Linked DNA regions of Pelodiscus sinensis. The protein of the gene in region 1 interacts with the protein of each later gene in a biochemical or structural test. Links are inferred from orthologs where the notes say so. Each region holds a gene or a part of one and is shown on either strand. Other genes may lie near its edges.

Region 1 (7,219 bases):
GGAACACCAATATTCCCCTTGTCCCAGTGCGTCCCGCTTTGATGAAAATACTGCATACAAAAATAGATTATTTTTAGGCTCAGTATGTGAAAGCACAGTACTTCCTGCCTCAGCTCCACCTTAAAAACTATACATACATTCTCTTTTTGATTTCTACAGCTAGTGTTTCATAACCCCTGCTATCAAACGCAATGGAGGGGGACGTCAAAAGGACAAGCTGTTAGAAACTAGGGAACTGGCATTTCAAGTTTGTAACTCAGCACAAGAAAAGTTTTGTTAAAATACACCATCACTCTTGGCAATCATGTCATATTAAAATGATGGTGTTTCTATCTGTCACAGCTATGAATAGCCTCAAATATTTTTATTTATAACCCTGATCTTTTCCATAGCAACAGGATGGGAACACGGCATTCCCAGTGTAATTAAGTCACTATAGCAACACGATAATGATGTCAGAATAATCAGAAAGTATTTCATATTTGGGAGATGGTGCACCCCACTAGCTGTGTATAAATTTCAAAAGTTACAGATACTGCAGAATCCAAAGAGTTCTGCTTTAAATTCCTCTTTCACTTAAACTCACAGAAACAACATTAAGGTCCAGAGTGTTTGATTATTAATATCTGTTTCTTAGTGACTTCAGTCCTTACTGTCTCTTAAGGAGTCTGACATGACAAACTGGATAAAGAATCAAGTGCTAGCCCACTAACAAAGGAGAAGAAATGTTTCAAAATATTTCAGATGAACATAGGGCAATTCACAATTCAACCCTGGCCTCCTTCAAGGAACACAATGAGTTAGATTATTTGATGCTGCTAAAGGTCAAACACATTGGGTGCCACATTTTAGACTGCAAACAATACACAAAGCCAAAATTACAACCTCCCACTATAGTTAAAAACAATGTAATTAACAAAAAACACAAACAAGAAGTTTTGGTACCACATTTGCATTTTGAAAATAAAAATTTGGATTTTTTTACTTCTGGCTTCATTACCTGTGGTGTTTGTTTACTGTTTGCACTTAATTCCAATTTAGGACTAGACCAATGAAAACAGATGTCAGTTTTGTATCTAGTCAGTTTCAATTTCTGGTTCTCAGACACTAACACAAGATTGCAATGCTTGGTTAAAAACACTGCAAAGAAAGATTTAAAAATAAAACAGTTTACTATAGCCATTGGTTCTGTCAAATTTCCTAAACACAAAAATATCCACTAAATTTGGAGCTAAACAGTGTGCCTTTCAACATGAATAATTTTTGTGGTTCTGTGGAGAGAGGAAAAGTAAATTTGATGGTATCTGGAGGCATATAATCATTTTTCTACTGGATACTTCAGGAAAGACTATCCTATTGGTAATTCTTGTGGTAGTCAACTCCCTATTTTACAAGTTTTCGAGTGATGAAGATTATGTAACACACCCCATGCTTAATAAATCAAGTGAAGGTTAAAAGTTTCAGTACTGAGCAGAAGTATATACTAAAATATTCCATGTACATGCCAAACGTAGCCAAGAAAAAAAATCCTGAAAGATTCCTACAAGTCAGAATTTAGCTATCAGTGGCCCTTGAAATACATCCTTTGATGTCATATGCTACCCAGACTTGATGGGATAGAACTTACAAATTAGAAAGAAACTTGTTCAGCCTCAGTTTTTAAATAGAAAACTGGCAGAAAGCGGAGAAAGAATATTCCCCCTATGGTGACACCTCCAGAAATGTGACAATGTAATAAAATGTTTGAGTATGCGAAGCACTATAAAGAATTGACTATGCAAATGAACGAAGATGCTTCCTCACCCCCCTTCACCCACTGCCTAAAATAGCAATCTAAAACTAGCTTGTTGCTTTGAATGCCTTGATCATTCAGGTAACAGTTGTTAGGTTGGATGTTTTTCTTTTAGAGCTATACAAAACTTTAAACCTCTCAGTGTCTCTTCCCAAACTTCCTCTTCAAATTCAGGGCAGTGGGAACAGGAAAATAAACTCTCGGAATATAACACCGACACCCAAATCCAAGTGTCGTCCACCTGAAATAGATCTTTTCCACACAGACCCCCCCCCCCCAAGCCTTGTCTCACATGCGTTATTTTTTTATACTAATCCCAAGTTATCTTCAAGGACAAGGGATGAGAACCACAACAGCCCATTTATGTCCCCTTACAATAGCTTCGGCAGCGGCGATGCCCTTCAATTTGCATTCCCTAGCTCCTTCAGTTCTGGGTCCAGGACCGAGAAACACCCTGGACCCCCGGACCGCATGAAGCAGTAAGAGAACTGGAGAGAGGTTCGCTCAGGCCTAACTACACAATCTGGGGAGTTTCTTCTAGGTCAACACTGAGCGCACCAGGTGGAGGTGCCAGGCTGCCAGGCTCCCTTCCCCCTGCTCCCCCGAAGAGAGAAGTGCAGCAGCATCCCTGGCGCCTGGCGGTCCCCCCCTCTGGAGCTCTGAGGCAGGCGGGGGAATTCCTGGTCTCACTTCCCCATTTCCAGGGCTCGCATGCAGGAGCCGGGGCTAGGAGAGCGGCGGGTGGCAGCCCCCCCAGGGCTGGCTGCCGGGGCGCTGCCCGCCGTGGGTCAGGCCTGGCGCCCCCCCCCCCGTTCGGGGCCGACCAGCCCGTGCCCGGTGCCCGCCCCAGGAGCCCACCAGAGCCCCGTGGGCGCGGGGGGGGAGGGGGGAGGGGCGCGCCGATGCCCCTGGGGGGGGGGCACAGCCCCTCATCCCCTGCCCCCCACGCGCCCCTGCCCCGCTTCCTGGGGCAGCACCTGCCCCCGCCCTGGGGGAGGGAGGCTCCGCCCCTGCGCTACCCGGGTACCCACCGCCCCCCAGCGGGGAGGGGCAAATCCGAGCCCCCCCCGCTCAGGGCCCCCCGCCAGCGGGTGTCGGGGTCACCGCGCTGCTCCCGCCGGGGGGGGCCCGGCCCCGCAGCTCGCCCCCCCGGCCGCGGGCCCCGCTCACCCGCCGGGCCGCCGCCTTCCGCCCGCTCGGCTCCCTGCCTGCGCTCCGGGCTCGGCGGCTCTGCGCGGCGGCGCGTCCGTCCCGCCCTCCCGGCCGGCGCCCGGCAGCGGCGGGGCGGAGCCAGGGGGCGGGCCCGGGCGGGGGATGGGGGCGGCGCTGTGGGGGCGGGGGGATGGGGTAGGGTGCTGGGGGATCGGGCCCTTTGGGGGTGGGGGGATGTGGGGGCGGGGGGATGGGGGGGCGCTGTGGGGGCAGGGGGATGGGGGAGATGGGGGGGCGCGGGCCCTGTGGGGGCAGGAGGATGTGGGGGGGTGGGCCCTGTGGGGGTGGGGAGACGGGGTAGGGTGCTGGGGGGGCGGGGGGATGGGGGTGATGTGGGGGGGCGGGCCCTGTGGGGGTGGGGGGATGGGGGGGCGCTGTGGGGCAGGGGGATGGGGGGATGTGGGGGGCGCGGGCCCTGTGGGGGCAGGAGGATGTGGGGGTGAGCCCTGGAGGGATGGGGGGGCGCTGTGGGGGCAGGGGGATGGGGGGTGGGCCCTGTGGGGGTGGGGAGATGGGGTAGGGTGCTGGGGGGATGGGCCCTTTTGGGGGCAGGAGGATCTGGGAGGGGGGCAGGGGGATCTAGAAGGGACCGGGCCCTTTCGTGGGGAGTGAGGGGGCTGTGGAGGGATCTGGAGGGAACTTTTGGAGGGGGATCTTGGAGGGATCTGGAAGGGACCAGGTCCTCTGGGGGAGAGCGAGTTGGATCTGGAGGGGATATGGGGGAATCTGGAAGGGTCTGGGGCCCTTTGTAGGGATGAATGGGATCTAGAAGAGACCTGGCCCTTTGGGAGATGGGGCCATCTGAAGGGCACTAGGTCCCTAGGAGATCAAAGATATGGGGCTGTTGGAGGGGTCTGGGGATGGGGGTGAAATGAGGGGGTGTTTGGAGGAGGATGTGGAGAGGGGCTCAGGCTGGGGCTTTTCTATCAGTAATTCCCGTTACAAAATTTATCAGGTGCCTGCTGGTCTCAGTAATTGACCAGATTCCAGGCAGAGGGAAAGGGGCTGCTGGGTTTTCGTTTTCGTTTTACTGTCAATTTAAGTCACTTTTTTTTCTTCTCTTTTTTTTAATGCAGGGCCCTTTGTTTACCTCATGCTTTACAGACAAACAAAATAAAAGTTTCCTGCCTCGAAGAGCGTATAGTCTGTCCTCAGTTCTGCTGTCAGTAGTTCTATGTGGGTGGAAAACTCCCTCTACTCCTCTCCCCCATCTCCAGACTCAATAGACCACCCAGGGCCCCTTCACCATAAAGGGGCGCTAAGCAGGTCCAGCCACCCTCCTCCTGTTGAGGCCTAAATTAAAACAGGGAAAACCAAATATCCAGGGAGGCAGGGCTAGGAGAAGACAGCAGTGACTACACATCAATGTTTCCTCTAATTTTTTCCATCTATGTGCGGAATAAATTTTGTTATGTGCACTGGGCGTGTGTAGATGTGCCCCACCAATAGAAGTACATGTTGCCAGCAGCAGGCACCCTACTAATCAGCTGGGCGGCTGCCCAAGCGCTCAGCTTTGAGGAAACATCTACACACCAGGATATGCTTTTTGGGGGGCTTTTATGTTGTTTTTTTGCTAGTGGGATTATTCCTATGCGTTAGTTCTTTGCTGGGTTAAGCTCATGTGCACAGCCCCGTGCAGGATAAAACCCCACCTCGAAATGGTCTGGGAAGAGCAGAATGTATCTATTGAGCACTGAGCTAATTTTTGGCTAGTGTGAAATAGACTCCCATGTGTCCTGCCAGCCCAAAGTCAGTGCACCATCGAGGAGCGTATTTGAGTCATGTGTAGGGTTTGTATTTCCCCCTGCTGAGAGGTGAATTTCATCCATGATTTGGCAGAAGACAAGTAGGAGTTTTTCAGCAGAGAGAGTGCAACCATAACAATATTTTCTTCTGTTGTCTCCTGGGGCCTTCAGCCCAATTATTCTGCAAGCACAAAGTAGCATCATTTTTATTTCAGCCTCATTCAAACCTAGAAACTCTTCTCAGCTTCAAGCATGGATTTTTTATATATAATATAAGGTGTTCATTGTGTGCACATGACTGTTAAATGGAAAAACTGTAATTTCATTTGCTTTTCATATAAATTTGCTGGTGCCGTCTTCCAAAGTTCTTTCAACTTATGATGACTTTGTAATGAGTTTTGTCACACGATCAGGAATTGATCTGACAAGCCAAGCATAGCTGCTGGACTGGGATAAATTTACAGACAGAAAAAATTATATCAATTTCTTTTGGACCATGGAGTGCAAGCCATTTAATTCTAATGCCACAACTCAGGTTCAATAAATATCTCAGGAAAGTATGATGGTGCGCATAGTTCATGAGTATTATACGGAACATTGAGGTAGCCCAGGCAGTTGATATAATTGCTCCTAAGTGCCTTCTTTGGGCTAGTCAAGCCAAGTTTGCTCCCTGGTTTTCTGGGGAGTTGATGGCGGCAAAACGGTCTGTGTGACGGTTAGAACGCCACTGGAGGAGAACTAGAGCTGAGTCTGATCAATTTCAGGTTCGAGCTGAATTGCGAGCTTACTCTGTGGCTGTGCTGGCAGCGAAGAAAAGCTACTTTTCCTCCTGTATTGCATCCACACAATGCCGCCCTATGTAACTGTTTCGAGGGGTGCGAGGCCTGTTATTGTCTGTTACTCATGATGAAATGGAGGAACTCTTGGCTCCCCTCTGTGATCTGTTTGCGAAGCGCTTTGCGGATAAGGTGGCTCACATTCGGTCTGATTTGGACTCTGCTGTGGAAGTGGGGCACAGAATGAGTTGAGAGAACTGCCCTCTCATTTTTCTTTGGAATAGTTTCAGCTGTTGCAGACCGAGGATGTGGACAAGATGCTTGGAGGAGTGCGATCCACCCCATACTCACTCGACCCCTGCCCTTCATGTCTTATTATATCTAGCCATGAAGGGATGACTGGCTGGGTCCAGGGGACTGTTAATGTGTCTTTTAGATCTGGCATGGTTCCTGCCTCCTTGAACAAGGCAGTGATAAAACCTCTACTTAAGAAGTCTTCCCTGGACCCACATGAGTTGAATAACTATCGTCAGTTGCTAATATTCCCTTCTTGGGCAAGGTACTCAAGCGAGCGGTGGCGTTGCAACACCAACGTTTCTTGGAAGAAACGGATTATTTAGAGCCATTTCAGTCTGGCTTTAGGCCGGGTTTTGGAACTGAAACCACCTGAGTCACCCTGGTAGATGACCTACGTCGGGAGATAGATCGGGGAGTGTGTCCCTGTTGATTCTCTTGGACCTCTCAGCGGCTTTTGGTACCATCGACCATGGTATCCTTCTGGAATGCCTGGTGGAGTTGGGTATCGGAGGTGCTGTTCTGCAGTGGTTCTGGTATTACCTGTCGGGGCGCCTTCAGATGGTGGAGCTAGAGGGCTGCTATTCGACCCCGTGGCGATTGTGCTACGGGGTCCTGCAAGGTTCCATCTTGTCCCTTATGCCAGCATTTCCCAAAGTGTGGTCTGTGGCCCAGTACCAGTCCTTAAAAAAAAAATACCGGTCCTCAGAAAAATTTTCACGCACGATTCTTGGGAGAGAGCCCACCACCGTGGCGTCTCTGCCGGGCATGCTCCCGGGCAGCAGGGCTAGATCCAACGGGCACTAGGGTCCAGAGAGAAGGCCAGTCGCTGTGCACACTGACACAGAATGCCCGGCTCCAGATGCAACCGGGGGAGCTGGCGCCAGCCGATAAAGTAGCCAGGATTGGGACCAGGATGGGGGGGTGGAACAACCCGCCGGACAGGTAGGGCCAGCAACATGCCCTGGGGCAGAGTGCTGCCCGCGTTTTCACCCACGAATGCAGATGTAACGGGGAGAGGACACAGGTCTACTCACCCAACCTCCAGGGCCCATATGAGCTCAGTCACCGGTAGGCCTGAGAGGGACCTTCTAACCTTATCACTCCCAGACAGGTGTGAAGTAGATATCTTGGGGTTGGAGTCAGGAAACTGCCCAGGGCAGTTGACTGGGCCTGCTCCTGTTGGCACTGGGCACTTTGGGAGGACCAGAAACAATTTATTTGCATAGTCAGCATTTGCTTAATGAATATGCAAATATGCAAAAAATGTTACCAGTCCTCCAAAATCTTGTGAATGGGTTTACTGGTCCCCAGTATCAAAAATATTGGGAACCACTGCCCTATACTGTTTACCATCTACATCACAGCTACTCAACTTTGGAAGCCCCGCAGGCCACAAT
Region 2 (7,176 bases), on another chromosome or scaffold:
GACAACCTATTCTGACAGAAATTGTGCATGAGTTCCATGCTGGACTGACTTAAAAAAACAAAACAATCTCTGTAGTTTTAAGTATTTTGTACCTATTTTGCCAGTGAGCATTGTTCGTATTTGAGACTCATATGACTTAACAATCTAACAACATCCATTTCTTTAAATATCTACCTTTAAGCTTTATGACAAGTGCAAAATCTTAAGCGGAACGAAATAGATTCCATGCCATCATGTGTTGAAAGGATAATGTCTGTTTGCATTAGGCCCCATTTATTTTTACCTAGTAAATCCAAATTAAGAAATAATTAGTGTTGGGAGGCGGGGGTGAGGGGGAGGGGAGAGACTGTTTCACTGAAACCAAATACCATTGTGACTCTCAAATACTATAGTAATAGACACCATAAAATAGATCAATCACCAAATTAAAATTCTTAGAGGGACTCAGTCAATATATAATCTTAAAATTAAGAATAACAGTTGTATGGTAAAATAGAGTTGGTAGCTTTCTCTTGATTTGCGGACGTGCATATCATTTCACTTGTAAATTAAACTAGTTTTTCTGCTTGTAACATACAGGATTTAGTGCCCTCAAATGCTTCAAAAACAGATCAATGCTTCATATGCTTGTGTGGCACTTACACTATGGCTTAGTCTACACTGCAGGGGTTTTGCGCAAGAAGCCTTTCATGCAAGAGTTTTTGCGCAAAAACTTCTTGTGGAAAATCACATCCGGACCTCAAAGCGCATTGCAAAAGTGATGTGCTTTTGTGCAAGAGAGCATCCACACTGCATAGACACTCTTGCACAAGAAAGCTCTGAAGGCCATTCAGAGAATGGTCATCAGAGCACCTGTGCTTTTTCCGATAGGCGTCCATGCCCGCCTTTATGTGCAAGAGCTGTAGTGCAAAAAGGAGTTATTCCTTGTGGGGAGAGGAATAACTCTACCGCCAAAAGCCCTCTGTTCTGTCAATTTTCTTGCGCAAAAATGCACTTGAGGTGTGGACGCTCTGCCGGTGTTTGCGCAAACCTTGTAGTATAAACATAGCCTGTGTGTGTATTTCAAGAGAATCACAGGCACCCTGGCTTGGTGATAGGTTTCTCAGAAGAGAAACTGGCACTTTCACACAGTTGCAGCTTCCCTTATTAATTGGAAGGAATAATACATTCTTTCTGGTTTTTTTGAGTGGAGGGAGGGGGAGAGCTGAGGCACATTTAAAACTGATATTTTTAGGGAATAGGGAATTGATTTCGGTCCTGTCAATTTAAACAACATCCTGTCTTTTCAAACAACTAACTCCTGTGCATTGAAAATCAAGATGATGAGATATGGAACTTCCTCCATTTACTCCAACACTTTACACAGAATTCTCTGCACTGGCCACACAAGCATTTCATTAAGATCAGACCCTGCTAATTTGTATACTTTTGCAGCTTTTTCTATTGAGGAAGACCCAGTGCTTTTTTTGTGATGGTACTGCCTGGTACGCAGTACTGGCACCTCCAGATGCAGTACCAGCACTTCCAGTCAGAGCTCAACAACTTTTCTTCTGGAGTGCTGGCACTTTTTTTTTAAAACAAAAAAAGCACTGTGAAGACCTATATGGAGAAACTGACTAGATTTAGTAAATTTCACACAGCTACTCCACAGACTCCTTAAGCAGTCAGCTAGCTCTTCCTAAACTAGCCTGTAAATTACTAGTTCACTTAAGCCTTCAAATTTAGGTTTTGTTTAAAAAAATATTTTTCATATGCTTAAATTTCAATAAATTAGAAATAAACATCCTGTAATGTTTGCACCTTAAAAGATGTACTCTTGTGCTATTATTTGAAAAGCTATCATTTAAAATTTTTTAAACCTTTATAATGTTAACAGTGTTTACATAACATAGCACGGTAGTATTTGGAAAAGCAAATCCACTGAACAGTTCTACATTGCTGAAAGTATTATGTATAATTAACAAGTATTATTTGTTAAGCAGCTGTGGTATGCTCAATGTTATGGGAAACACAAATAACGTTGGTCTTTGCTGCAAGGAACTCATAGTTTAAATGAAGTCAGGCTCCTATATGAGAAAATTCGCTAGGAGACTCAAAAAAAGTAAATTAAAACATCTTGTTTTTCTTTCTCTGTTCTCTTATATAACATGACACAAACGGGACATTTGGCTGATGTTGATTAGCATAGAGACAAGTGACAAGAGTGGACTTGCCAAAGAAATTACAACCAAATTTTAAAACATATTTAGGCACCAAATTCCAGTTGAAATCAATCAGGAGTCAAGTGCTTAAAAGTCCCCTCTGAGCCTAGGTTTTTGCTGGTCAGCATTCACAGAGCCTCCTGAAGTCTTGATGCCAACCCTTTACTCCCATCACCCTGCCCCAGATCTAGCTAATAAATAGTCCAGTGTTCTAGCTAAAGCTGAAACCTAGGCAGGGGAATGCCTATTCTGCCAATAGGGGACAATCCTTTAGGTGTGCTCTGTGCATGCCTAAAACTGGTTAGACCTGAAGCAAACAGCCGGGACACAGACCACAAATACTGCACACCACCTATCCAAACCGCCAATAGCTTGGGTAAATGTAGTGCAAGTGTAAGACACAGCACAAGGCAGATTTGGTTGCTAGAGCATAAGCTACTTAAGCGGCTGACTGAGCTTTGGAGGTTTATTATAGATGAAGATTCCAAGCAGAGGAAGGTGCCTACCTCTGGCTTGTCAGCCAGGACACTGTTTAAACACCTAAACATGGCATTTCATTCCTGGATAGTTTAGGAAATTCCCTAGTCAACTTGTTTAGCTTCTGAAGATCCCTTCCTTACATGAACAACTCTTGTATGGGGAGCCATGCTGGTAGTCGGGGGCTGAGAATTCCATTTGTTAGGTGCAGCAACACTTAAATACCACTGAAGACATGGGGTAAAGTTATTGTGGAGTGTGGAAAGCCATGAGTTGGTTTAGATTATATTTGGCTCCAGTTGAAGACATTTGTCCATTTGTTAGCAGAGTTTGCAGTTGGGGGATCTTATTAGATCCCTAACTGCTTTTAGATGATGAAGGCAGCAGCAGCATGTGCCTCTTATTAGAAGGTAAAACCTTTCCCTTTGGACCTGGCTAATATAACCCATGCAGTAAATCTTGTTATACAATAGCTTGGCAATATACTGGAAGAGTTCCTGCACTGGTGTGTGAATAGTCACAGATTGAAACCTCTGGCAGTTCTCTTGAATAAGTAATCAAAATTCTTTCATCCTTAAGCTTTTAATCATTAGGATGCCTTTCTGAGAGATGTAATGTATTCTCTATCAGTATAAGTCTTTACATCAGGACTGGATGTCTTTCTAAACAATATTCTGTCCTCAGAAAGTATGGCTTGATGCAGCTATTTGTGGATGAAATTCTAAATCCTGTTAAGTGTAAAACAGATTATCATAATAGCCTCTCCCAGGTTTGACAATCTATCATTTTGCCAGGGCTAGAACAGATTATTGCAATGTCTTCCACATCCAGACACAGTTTAAATCCATCTGTCTATGAACTGAGTATGGTATAGAGTCTGGCAACCTGTCTTGTGCACTGCCCTGTCTGCAATTGCTGCACTCACAGCTCCCATTTGGCTGGGAACTGGAGCAGCTTGTGGCAGGATCACTATGACGGGACTGTCCCAACCCTTAACTCCCCTCCCCCCCCTGCTCTCTACACCGCCAATCCCCTGCTCTGAATCCCTCCTGCTCCCCAATCTCGTGCACTGACTCCTGCCCCTCCAAGTCCCAACCAACTGCCCTACTCCCGCACCCTCTGTACATTGTAGGCTTTCCTTTGCTACTCCCCAAAATGACTTAAAAAGGCTATTAGGAAAGAAACTGTATTAATAACACAAAGTCAGATTTATTGCTTTAATCACATATTTTACGTTCACTAGCAACAAAATGCTCCCCTTCAGTTTTCACTTCTTGCAGGGGGTCTGCTCTAGCCTATATGGGAGTACCTGGAAGACATTTACAGCACAAACCCCTGTTCTCACCCCATGGGAACTGGACTCCTCTCCTTGGGAGAGTGGTGGCTGCCGGTAGGGGCACTGGGCTTTGAAGCCTGCCCCCATATGGGTACCTAGCGAGGCTACCCAGCCTCCTGGTCTGAGAGTGGTAGCAGAGCTGGGTGGGTCAGGGGCTGGCAGGCCCGCCCGGGGCCCGAGAGCGGTGCGCTGACCCGAACCCCGACACCCCTCTTGGGATCAAACAGCAGGCGACGCTCCGCGGGGGAAGAGGTGTCGGCCGGGCCGCGGGGCGGGAGCTGGGCGCGGCCCCTCCCCGAGCGCTGCAGCCGCCGCTGGCCGCTCCCCGCCGGTGCGGCGGGCTCCTCACCATGGTTGCAGCAGCACAAAGCCGCCAGCGCCGGAGGCCGCTCCCCCCGTGACAGCCCGGCCCCGCCCGCGCCGCGCCCGCCAGCTCCCCGCGCCCGCCGGGAGCGCAGCCCCGCAGCCCGGATGGGAGGCGCCGGCGGGGATGCAGCCGCAGCAGCCGCGGAGCGGGACGGCGGAGCCCAGTAGAGCCGGAGTCGGGAGCCGCCGCCAGGCGCCAGGACCCCGGGAGCTCCCGGGCCGCCCCTCCCGCTGCCGGCCGGGCTTGCCCGGGCGGCGGCGCTGCTGAGTCCCGGCGCTTCACCCCCAGCGGCCGCGAACCCGGAGCCGCGAGAGGCCGCGCCCGCCAGCCGGGCAGCGCCAGGGAGCGGAGCCCGCCGGGACCAGCCCGGCTCCCCCGCCGCGCGCCTCGGGCCGGGGCTCGGCGCCGCTTCCCAGCCCAGCCCGCACCCAGCAGGGGCCGCCGCGGGGCCGGGCAGGCGGCGGCGGGGCCGGGGCAGAGACGGAACGAGATGGCGTCGTACGTGGATAACAGCTTCCGCCAGGCGGTGATGAAGAACCCGACGGAGAGGAGCCCCCAGGTACCCCCCTGTGTCCCTCTAACGGCGCCAGAGGGGCCCGTGACCCTCCCTTCGCTCTCCCCCGTAGTGTCCCCTTAGGGAGCCCTCCCCGCCCTCGAGATCTGCTGGGGACTTACCCCTTGCAGCGCCCTCCTCTTAGCTCTCGGCCCCCCGCTGCCCCGGGGAGCTCCTACAGCCTTTGTTGTTTCTTTTCCCTTTCAAGAGGAGCCTAACCTCGGGCACCGACCCCCATTTTTCTTCCTGGATAGGAGCCCCAGGGTACAGGCAGGCATCACCTGATCTGTGCCCCCGGGGTGCTGCACACGGGGCAACAGGTACCTATTTCCTTATGCCCTTCCACGTTGCATAGTGCAGTTTTTTCATCTTCCACCCACTCCCACATAATGAATCCTCCCTTCCCCAACATTCCCCGTAGCTACTGCTTGTTTATCTCTTGTTTGTCTCACACACACATCATAAACATTTCCTCTGCTTCGAGTACTCCTTGATCTGTACATACGTATGTCAGCTAATCTGTTTTCAGACCTCTCTAATCCCCTTTCCCACTCACGGGATGGAGGAACTCCTTATTCATTCACAGCCAGCAGTAGTTTTAAGATTTCTCTTCCCACTCCTCTCTCGCAGTACTGTTGTTACTTTTGGGGGGCTCACATTCCCTTAGTCGGTCTGTTCATTCCCTTTATCTTTGTCTAAAATTGGGCAGAGAACCCCTGTGTGGTCAGACAGCAACAGAGGAGAAGGGGGGAGGACATCTCTTTGACTGTGAGTTGCATAAATCCTGAAAGCTGACTCTATGGGAAACCCAGATTTAGTAACTGCTGCTGTCTTTCCTCTCTGTTTTGCATAGTGTGTTTTAAAAGAAGATACTATGGTGTTAATAGAAACTTTGAACACTATAGTTTGTATAGGAGTGCAACATACTCACTGTTACACAAACTTAACTCACCCAAAATATTGATGTATAGGATGCTAGTTCATGGAAAGAGAAGAAATGTTAAACTGAGAGCATGTGTCTATTCTTAATATATAACAAGTAGTTTAATTCTGGAATTGAATTCACTGCGTACATATATAGCGCATACAACATTACTGGCCCATCCGTTTATAAGAGAGGTGAATGTTGTATTTTTGGCAAATCTTTGCTTCCTTAAAATAGGGAGAAATTCTTGCAGAAATAGAAATGCTTTCATAGTAACATGGGAGAAGGTTTTTTTAAATGCTGTATTTGAATCTGTCTTCACTTGGGGGCCCACTTATATGTGGTATGTGTGGGATAAATAACAATTTTACTTATATACTCCTGTAGGATTTTTAGCGCATGGGGCTTTGTAAACATTAGAGACAGAAGGGAGGAAAATGTGTAAAATTATTTTGACTTGTTTTTTGAGTCTCCGTAAGGTGAGTGAATTCTTACTGCTTTGGAGTGGTGACTGGATGTGCTACTGCTGCCAACTGTCTAAAGACAAATAAGCTTTATGCTGATCCCTGAGTCAAGCTGTAGTTCAATAGCTAATGATTCAAGGAGTTACTTTGCTCATTAGTTGCAGTGCCATCTGTCCTGTTTTCTAAAGATTTGTCCTATTTCTCTAAGAACTTAGTATATGCTGATCTTAGAGAGGGGTTTTATTTTTTATTACCATGGTTACTGATGATTTTGCCAGATTTTTGATTGGCTGTTGACATTTTAAATTGTGGTTGAGGAAAGAACTTTGACTTTTGGGGCAGCATCCAGAATTCCTTCTTTAGATAAGTCATTGTGGATTCAGTTTTACATCCTTGAGCTTGTGACAACGTCAGATCACGTTGAAAAGTATGGTGTAAATGTGTTAGAAAAGATAGTCCTGATTTTATGAAAATACATTATTCTTTTCTACATCTCATTCTAGAACAAATTCCTTTTATTATAGTGAAGTTAAAGTTGTGTTTGTGTGTCCTTGCTTGACCTTTTCAAATGTTTATTATAGTACTTGCCTTGAATCTTGGCACCAGTATGAAAGCCTACAGGCATCAGAGTAGCACAACTAGTGACTGAAAAGTTAGATTTGGAAACCGAATGCTGTTATTTCAGAAGGATACTACTTGTTAATATGTAGTAAGATCTCTTTTTCTGGGAGAAGCTTAAATTCCAGTAATGGGAGTCAAAGAGATTTGGGAGAACATTATAAAAAGACTGTCAGTTGGTCAGCAGCAGAGATAATGGCAGTTGCTCAGAAATCAGTCAGGTAGTGGAGCCTCC
Region 3 (7,876 bases), on another chromosome or scaffold:
TCCAGCCCTGTACCCACCCTGCGAGGCTGGAGTGCCAGCACCGGCTTCCTGCTGAGGGAGGCAGGGAGCTCTGAGACTCATGGCTTGGATCCGGCTTGCAGGGGCAGGAAGCAGCTCCGTAAGCTGGAGGATTGGCAGCACAGGAAACTGCTCACCCAGTGGCTTTCTCCACTGCTTCCATTGGCCAGAATCCTGGCCAATGGGAGCAGTGAGGGGGCAAGGAGCCAGGTAAGCACCTCATCCTCATGCCCAACCCCTATCCCTCAGCCCACTCCTGTACCCACCCTCCTCCCAGACCTTGCATTCCTTCCTGCACCCTCCATCCTTCCCAGACCTCACATCCCCACTACCTCCTGCACCCATTTTCTCATCATGGGTGGTTGGCAGGTGGTCTGTGGAAAGGATTGCATTGAGCGGGGAGAGCTGTGATCCAAAAAGTTTGAGAACTACTGTACTAACCACTGCAAGCAGAGAGAGGTGACCAGTTTGTTCGAGAAAGCATACTGAAAACAGCAGTTTGGGCATGTGTAGTGGCATGGCATGCTTAGGGATAGCCATTGGAGTGCAAGCCCACCCAACCTCAGGTATAAACTCAAGTGGCTAATCCTAACTGCTACCTGTGTCGCCGTGGCCATCCTGTTATTTTTTGAACAATCAGCTTGAGCAGAGATGACATATCCGACTCCCCAGGCTCAGAGGCTAGCCCCCAACTGCTGTAGACATACCCTAAGAACAAAGTAGTAGTAATACACTGATAAAGCTGGATTGTTCCCTATGGATTCACATACAGAAGTCACACACCTCCTTTCAGTGTCACACCACTGAAGCTGCTTAGGGGTGGAGCTTCATAGGTATGTCTGCCCTACACAGATCTGTGTCTGGTTAGTCAAAATCATGCTAGCAGGGTGCAAGCTTGCACTGTGGACACTGTAGCAACAGCAAAGACTTAGAAAGCCACTCAAGCTCAAACCTTGGGACCAGGTAGGCTTAACATCTTGATCTATCATCCTAGCAGCAACATTCACACTGCTATTTTTAGCACACTAGCTCAAGATGCACTAGCTAGAGTCTGCATATGCAAGCTGGGAGGTTCACTCCTACAAGCAATGTAGGCATATTCATAGAGTCCTGGGGGAATGCAAGAATGCCATTATCTTGCTCCTCAGCAATACTCAGATCAGAGCGTTCCAGACAGATGATACAACAGTGAGCTCTACTGCTACATTGTATGGGCCACATAGCTCCTACTGGAGCCTTCCACCATATATGCCAGCAGCAGCTCTTCTTGCAGCAAAAATCCTTGCAGTTCCCAGAGGTCTGTGGGGGTGGTAGGGTCTTGGATGCTCAGAAATCCACAACACCCATTCTCTTCTACTAAGACAGAGCTAGAGAAAAACTGCAAGGTGAATCAAAGATGACAGCAATCTGGCTCCTGACTAGGGATATTAAAATTAATCAAATAGTCAACAGAATTCCCATCAACTATTTGATTAGTCAATAAGAGCACCTTCACTTTGAAATGTAGCAAGAACCCGCCCACTCCTCCACACTGATCTATGCAAACCTCTGCACATGTGGGGCACTCCACATCCATCTGTATTAGCTTGTATCCAAGGTGCTAAAAACAGACTTGCATTAGCACCTGTTGTGCCACTGGCACTGAGAAAAGTATAGTCTAGTTGTCAGAGGATGACTGGGGATTTTTGGTTACATTTCTGGCTCTGTCACATACGCGCTATGTGAACCTCGAAAAATAATTTTAACCTTTCTATACTTTGATGTCCTAATCCCAAAAAAGGGAATAAATCCTTATCTTGCAGATTAATAATGATTAAATTAGGACAGTGAAGATTCTTTATTGTGCTTTGAGATCTTCTGATGGTGCCACAGAAGTGACATATCTAGAACTGTCTAGAAATTTTCCCACAAAATATGTTTTGAGAACACGTTGATTGGCTGAAGCCAAAACTCACAGGAATGTGCCCATTTCAACAAAACTTCCATTGTGAAAGATTTTGCAGGTCCAGGATGGAATTTCTGCTCCAGGAGAGACACCCTGGCCAAAAATAGTCACTACAGGCTGGTGTCCAAAGCACTGATTCACATCAGGGGCTTGAAAGTGAATCTTCCATAACCACTCTAACCACTACTAGCCCATTCGCGTTGGGGGGTGGGCCTCTCCCCACTCCTTTTTCTAAAGAAATTTCAAAGGGCCTCTTTGGCCCCAACAGGACACATGCGGGCAGCTTGAAGGGCAGAGAAGCTAGTACCCAGGCAGCCCAGGGGGTAACTTCCAGAGCGATTCCTGTTTGCTGCGCATCCCCGAAGCACTGCTTGAGGGCGAGAGTAGAGACTAACGTGCCAGCTAAAAAGCCCCCCTCACGCCAGACTGGGGCAGACCACACAAGACGCGCCAACCTGGGGCAGCATTTGACCCTGCCAGGCCCTACCACTCTCCCATGCAGCAGAGCCCGTTTGCCGGTAGCTCCCAGGGCCGGCTCTTGCGGGAAGGGAGAAGGCGCCGCGCTCCCTGGACAGGTGCAGGACACCTGCAGCGGCGACTCCGGAGAGCCCCGCCCCCGGGCCCAAGGGAGTCAAGCCGCACGGGGGGAGAAAAGCGGCAGGGCGGAGTGCGGGGGGGCGGAGGCCGCTGGTGCCCCTGAGCTGTCAGCCTGCAGCGGAGGGGGAAGGGCCGGGCCAGAGGGTCACTCACCCGGCCCCCGGCGGCGGGGTCTTTCCTCCGCAGCGTGAGCCCGCTCCGCAGGCGGGCCGGCAGCTCCCTCAGCTTCTGCCGCAGCTGCCCTGGCGGCGGCTCGCGGTGCTGCCTGGCGCTCGGCCTGAGGCTCAGGGCGGGCTCCGCGCTCTCGCAGGGGGGCTGCATCCTGCCGGAGCCCACGGCCATCCCGCAGCGCAGCGGCCCCGGCTGGCTCGCCGCGCGCGCCCCGCTGCCACTCACGGCTCCGGGCGCTGCCCTGCCCGCTGGCGGCAGCGGCGGCGCGCACCTCTGCGCTGCGCGCGGGGCTGGGGACCGGGGGCCCGCTGAGTCATCCCGCAGGTGCAGGAAATGCTCGCGCCGCCAGGCTCTCTCCACCTTTTCCCTCTCGCCCTGCGCCTCCCCTGGGGACGCGGCTCCCTGCCCGCCCAGTGGCTGCGGCGGTGATCGAGCGCAGGTGAGTGGTAGGGCGGGGAGTAATAAAGTGCTGTTAACTGCTCGGCTTCTAGCATCCGCCCACCTCCCAGCGCGGCTACAGTGCCGCTGGGGGCAATGCTAGCGGCGTCAGGGGGCCAGCGGTAGCCCCGGGAGAAGAGCTGGGCAAAAAGTTTTCAGACACAACCCTCCCGCGCCCGCACACACACACTGAAAAATGCAGCTGGAGGTTGACCAAGTTGTAGCTTCCATGCGAAGAAGAAAACGTCATAGTAAAGCAGAGCCTCGATGGTCTGTGGCGACCTTCTCAAAATGACACTTGATGGCGTTCCCTTTCCAAATGACTTTTGCTCTCGAATGTGACTTCCTTTTTATGGAAACAGCTAAAAAAAAAAAAACCAAAACCCCTCAACGGCCTTGAAAACTAAACACACGTTTTGTGTCAGGTAAATCAAACCATTTTGGTTGGCCCCCAATGCAATTCTTTTTGTAACATTTTGTGTTGGTTAAACATTTTAATTTTAAAAACGAGCAGTTCTGTGACACCTTAGAGACTGAAAACATAATAGAGAGACTCCATGAGCTTTTGTGGGTAAAAAAGCTCATTATTCTCTCTATGTTTTGTCTTGGTCTCTAAGGTGCCACAGGACTACTGGTTGTTTTTAAAGTTACAGACTAACAAGGCTACCTCTGAGGCATTTTCATTTTATGTCAACCTAACAAATACCTTTTAAAAAAAAATTTGGTTACCAAACTGAAAAATCAATTTTTCATACAGGTCTAGTCACATCCTCTTCATTTGAGCAGGCTTGGATGCTTAAAACTCTGGCAGGAGCTCCAAGTCTTTGTGCTCTCTCATCCCTATTACACCCACTCATGGAGCTGAAACTTGGTGATAATGGTAGGAAAGTTTAGCAATATAATCCTAGTACAGACAGGGCTTTAGGAAGTAAGGAATCCAAATGAAATGAGGTCTGAGTATTTTGCTCTACTACAGTGGTTTTCAATCCCCAAATCTCACACTTAGGAAACATTAATGAATTAAGCCTCATAGAACCTTGGAGGGGGAGGTATTATCCATGTTTTACAAACATGAGTAAAATTTCCCTTATGTGAGTAAATCATTGACTTGTATCCTGTAAAAGAGTCAGGGTCCAAGAAATTGAAGCACTTATCACTGACAGAAGTGGGAAAAGAATTGCTCAATTGCTTTCTCATGCCCTTTATCCTTTTTGTCTAGATAGAGTGCAAAGTGAGATAACATGGCGCTGCTTATATACCAGCTTCCAGTTTGTTTCAGGCAATGCTGCCCTACAACAAACAAACAGATCTGAGGAATAAAAGTGTGCTGGCTTGTGTGTTCTATTGTTTTCTTCAGAAGTGTACTCTGTCCTACCCTCCTGCTGCATTCTTAGTGCCCGTCACTGTTAGGGACTGATGCTGGGACTATCTGCTGCAGGATTACCATAGATCCACCTCTCCGCATATCAGTGTGAACTACGCTCAAAAGGATTGTGGATCTCTTGTTTTTATTCTGGGTAATAGTGTGCTCTGTCCAAGTATTCAGGCATTACTATAATTACAACTATTGTAGTTACTGCTATTACTTCCAGTTATACTTCTGTGTGTTACATTAAATAATTCATTTACACTTTTCAAAGTGCATTGTGGTCATTTGAATAATAATACAATCAGAGCAATAACTAGAAGGAACAAGGTTAAATTAAGAAAAGGTAAATGTAGGTCAAAGCTCAGAAAAAAATGTCAACAGGAACATTTGAATATGTGAAGCATCTCCTAAGTAAAGTGTTTCTTGGAACATTTAAAACTAGGCAGACAAACTAATGGAAAATAGTGATTGGAAAATATACATTGGAAAATAATACTGCACTGGCAGGGTGATGGACTGGATCTGGATGACCAAATAGGTCTTCTCCATCTCTAACTTTGCAATGGGAATTAAGAGGGAATATTGTGCCTTACCTAAGGAATATGGAACCTTAGTTCACATCCCTGTAAAGGATCAGTATATGTATTGTCCTGTCCTCTAATGGCCAGCTCCCATATTCTTGAAAGCTGCACAAAATGAGGTTTTGACCCCATTAAAGTCAACTGCAGTTTTGCATATTTAGAATCAGGGAGTATTAGAGGTTTTGGCCATTTTGAATTGTGTTTGTTTTCTTTAACTCTTTATCGCAATCAAAAGAAATGCCATAATATAGTCCAAGATGCTTCATGACCAAGTGTATTTAATTAGTTATGTAATTAGAAAAATTGCAAAACACAATTATCTTGAATTAGACTCTTCCTGACAAAGCATAATAAACATTCATTTGAGACTTAAAATGTTCTGGCTTTCTAATGCTGTTAGGATAATCAATAAATTTTTAATTAACTTATCTCTTTGGCATTCATTTCAATAAAAATGAAGAATTATTGTACAGAGGTTTCAGTAACAGAAATAGTCATTGGGATATGGGGAGCCACTGAACATGCCTATAACAGCTGATGTCCCTAAGCCAGCTTCTCCTAGATGCCCCTTAAATAGCTTGCACCCAGCTCTGCCAACCCTGACAGTAAATCCTCTCAAAATAAAGGAAGACTTTCAAGAACACAAAGTCTGCACTACCATATCCCTTTCATTCTCCCAGGCATGCCTCCTGGACCAGAGCTCCATCTCATTCTCCCTGATCTGGAGAAGTCAGGCAATGAAGTAATTCTCTTCTTGCCATTTACTCGGGTTTGTCTGTAGTGGTTAGCGAAGACACTACCTATGCCGACAGCAGAGCGTCTTCCAGTCACATAGGTACTCCTCCTCAATGAAAGGCAATAGCTATGCCAACAGGAGAAGTCCTCTTATTGACATGGTGCTACTGTCTATGTTGTCAATTAGATCGGTATAACTATAAAACTTAGAAGTGTGGCAGTGTAGTATAGTCTTTCTTATGAGGGAACTGACAGATCATATGCTGGTCTTCTTCCCAGAACGCATTTTTGGTTGTCTGAGAAAGAGGTGCCCTGCACTATACTACAAGACTCCTGGTCCTGGGCCCAAAGGAGAATAGTAGCCTGGAGATACCATTTTTTCAAAAGTTAACTGTTACTCCACTTTAAGCTCTCTTATCAACTGCCTCTATCTTTCCTCAGGTCTTCTGTCATCTCCGGAATTCTTTGAATGAGGTCATCTGACCCCTGAGACTTCATCTTCTAGCCTCAAAACCGTGCCAATGCCTTTTTGTATCCTTTATTACTAAGACTTTAAAAGACGTCCGGTAGGGTGTGTGGGGGAGGAGGGGGTTAGCAATACGTCTTCCATGAAAGTCAAGGGTTTGCTTTGAAAATCTCAGGCTTTGTCTAGACTGGCCAGTTTTTCCTGGAAAAATCAGCTGCTTTTCTGGAAAAACTTGCCAGCTGTCTACACTGGCCACTTGAATTTCCGCAAAAGCACTGACTTCCTACTGTAAGGAATCAGTGCTTCTTGCGGAAATACTATTCTGCTCCCGTTCAGGCAAAAGTCCCTTTTGCGCAAAAGGGCCAGTATAGACAGTTCAGATTTGTTTTGAGCAAAAAAGCCCCGATCGTGAAAATGGCAATCGGGGCTTTTCTGCGGAAAAGCGTGTTTAGATTGGCACGGACGCTTTTCTGCAAGAAGTGCTTTTGCGGAAAAGCGTCCGTGCCAATCTAGACTCTCTGTTCCGTTAAAAGCATTTCTGGAAAACCATGCCAGTCTAGACACAGCCTCAATATATATGTCTTAACACTGAAACAAAACCACAATGTTCTCTGTCCCTGTCTATACTAGACCCAGCAGGTTGCTTAAAGGATGCAAGTCCAGGTATCTAAATAATGTCACGAGAGTCAATATACAGGGCATCCCTGCTATAAGTCGCCCTGGTACATATCCATTCCGCACTAAAGTTGTTGACGCTTGCAGGAACTGATGCATTATAAGTCCTCCCATTCCCCCCTCTTAAGTCATGCAAAAAAAAACCCACCCCAATTTGTGCAAATGGAAGTCAGACATGGGGAAAAAAATTCCCCGCTTTAAGTTGTTTCACTATAAGTCCAAGTTTTTCCAATGTATCTTGGACTTATAGTGAGGCTGGCCTGTACCTCAAACGAAGCTTGGTGCTGTCTCCACAGTGGGAGGTTGATGGGAGTAAATGCTTCTAGCTGCTTCCCTTACTTCTCATGAGGAGTAGGAGTACCAGCACCAACTAGGGGCAGCCTCAGCATTCAATTTAGCGGGTCCTTACTAGGCCAGCTAAATCAAATGCCAGAAGAGTGATCTCCAGCACAGCCAGTGGAGACATGGCCTCTATGACTGTTGTTCTAAGTCTTTTGAGATGGCCACTTTTTCCTCATCTGATCATTGGGTGGGATTCCATTTTTTTAAATTATTTTATTTGTTGTGCTTTTGAAAATTATCTAGTCACAGCACTGCCTAGAGAGAATTGTGGATTTGTAATATATACAGAAAATATCCCTTAGGGACTAAGCTGAAAATGAGGTTATAAAATGCCATCCATCCTAATTGAGTTGGGGTTATTCACACATTTTGTTTCATCTTTATAGTTTCAAGTTATCTTATTGTCTCATATGCCTTTGAAATAATTGCAAATATGTTCTCTCTCTTCATACTTCTTTGTCACACCATCTGAACTAAGCAGCAAATGACTGGCCAGATTGCCTCCCGCCCATCATGAGTGGGACCAGAAAACGCTCTGT

What was found.
Region 2: the proteins of RAP1A (region 1) and RAPGEF2 form a complex in vitro, tested with the Homo sapiens proteins (2 studies listed by BioGRID and IntAct, with this or other methods). The link is inferred for Pelodiscus sinensis from reciprocal best matches to the Homo sapiens genes RAP1A and RAPGEF2.
Region 3: of the proteins of RAP1A (region 1) and RAPGEF5, one has a biochemical effect on the other in vitro, tested with the Homo sapiens proteins (2 studies listed by BioGRID). The link is inferred for Pelodiscus sinensis from reciprocal best matches to the Homo sapiens genes RAP1A and RAPGEF5.

The regions. Positions count from the first base shown.
Region 1 is NC_134737.1:3,068,331-3,075,549, forward strand, and holds the start of RAP1A (ras-related protein Rap-1A), read right to left. Parts: upstream 3,096-7,219; 5' UTR 2,963-3,095; intron 51-2,962; 5' UTR 1-50. UniProt on the Homo sapiens protein: Counteracts the mitogenic function of Ras, at least partly because it can interact with Ras GAPs and RAF in a competitive manner. Together with ITGB1BP1, regulates KRIT1 localization to microtubules and membranes.
Region 2 is NC_134715.1:59,798,409-59,805,584, forward strand, and holds the start of RAPGEF2 (rap guanine nucleotide exchange factor 2), read left to right. Parts: upstream 1-4,080; 5' UTR 4,081-4,871; coding exon 4,872-4,940; intron 4,941-7,176. UniProt on the Homo sapiens protein: Functions as a guanine nucleotide exchange factor (GEF), which activates Rap and Ras family of small GTPases by exchanging bound GDP for free GTP in a cAMP-dependent manner.
Region 3 is NC_134712.1:199,692,827-199,700,702, reverse strand, and holds the start of RAPGEF5 (rap guanine nucleotide exchange factor 5), read right to left. Parts: upstream 3,097-7,876; 5' UTR 2,903-3,096; coding exon 2,714-2,902; intron 1-2,713. UniProt on the Homo sapiens protein: Guanine nucleotide exchange factor (GEF) for RAP1A, RAP2A and MRAS/M-Ras-GTP. Its association with MRAS inhibits Rap1 activation.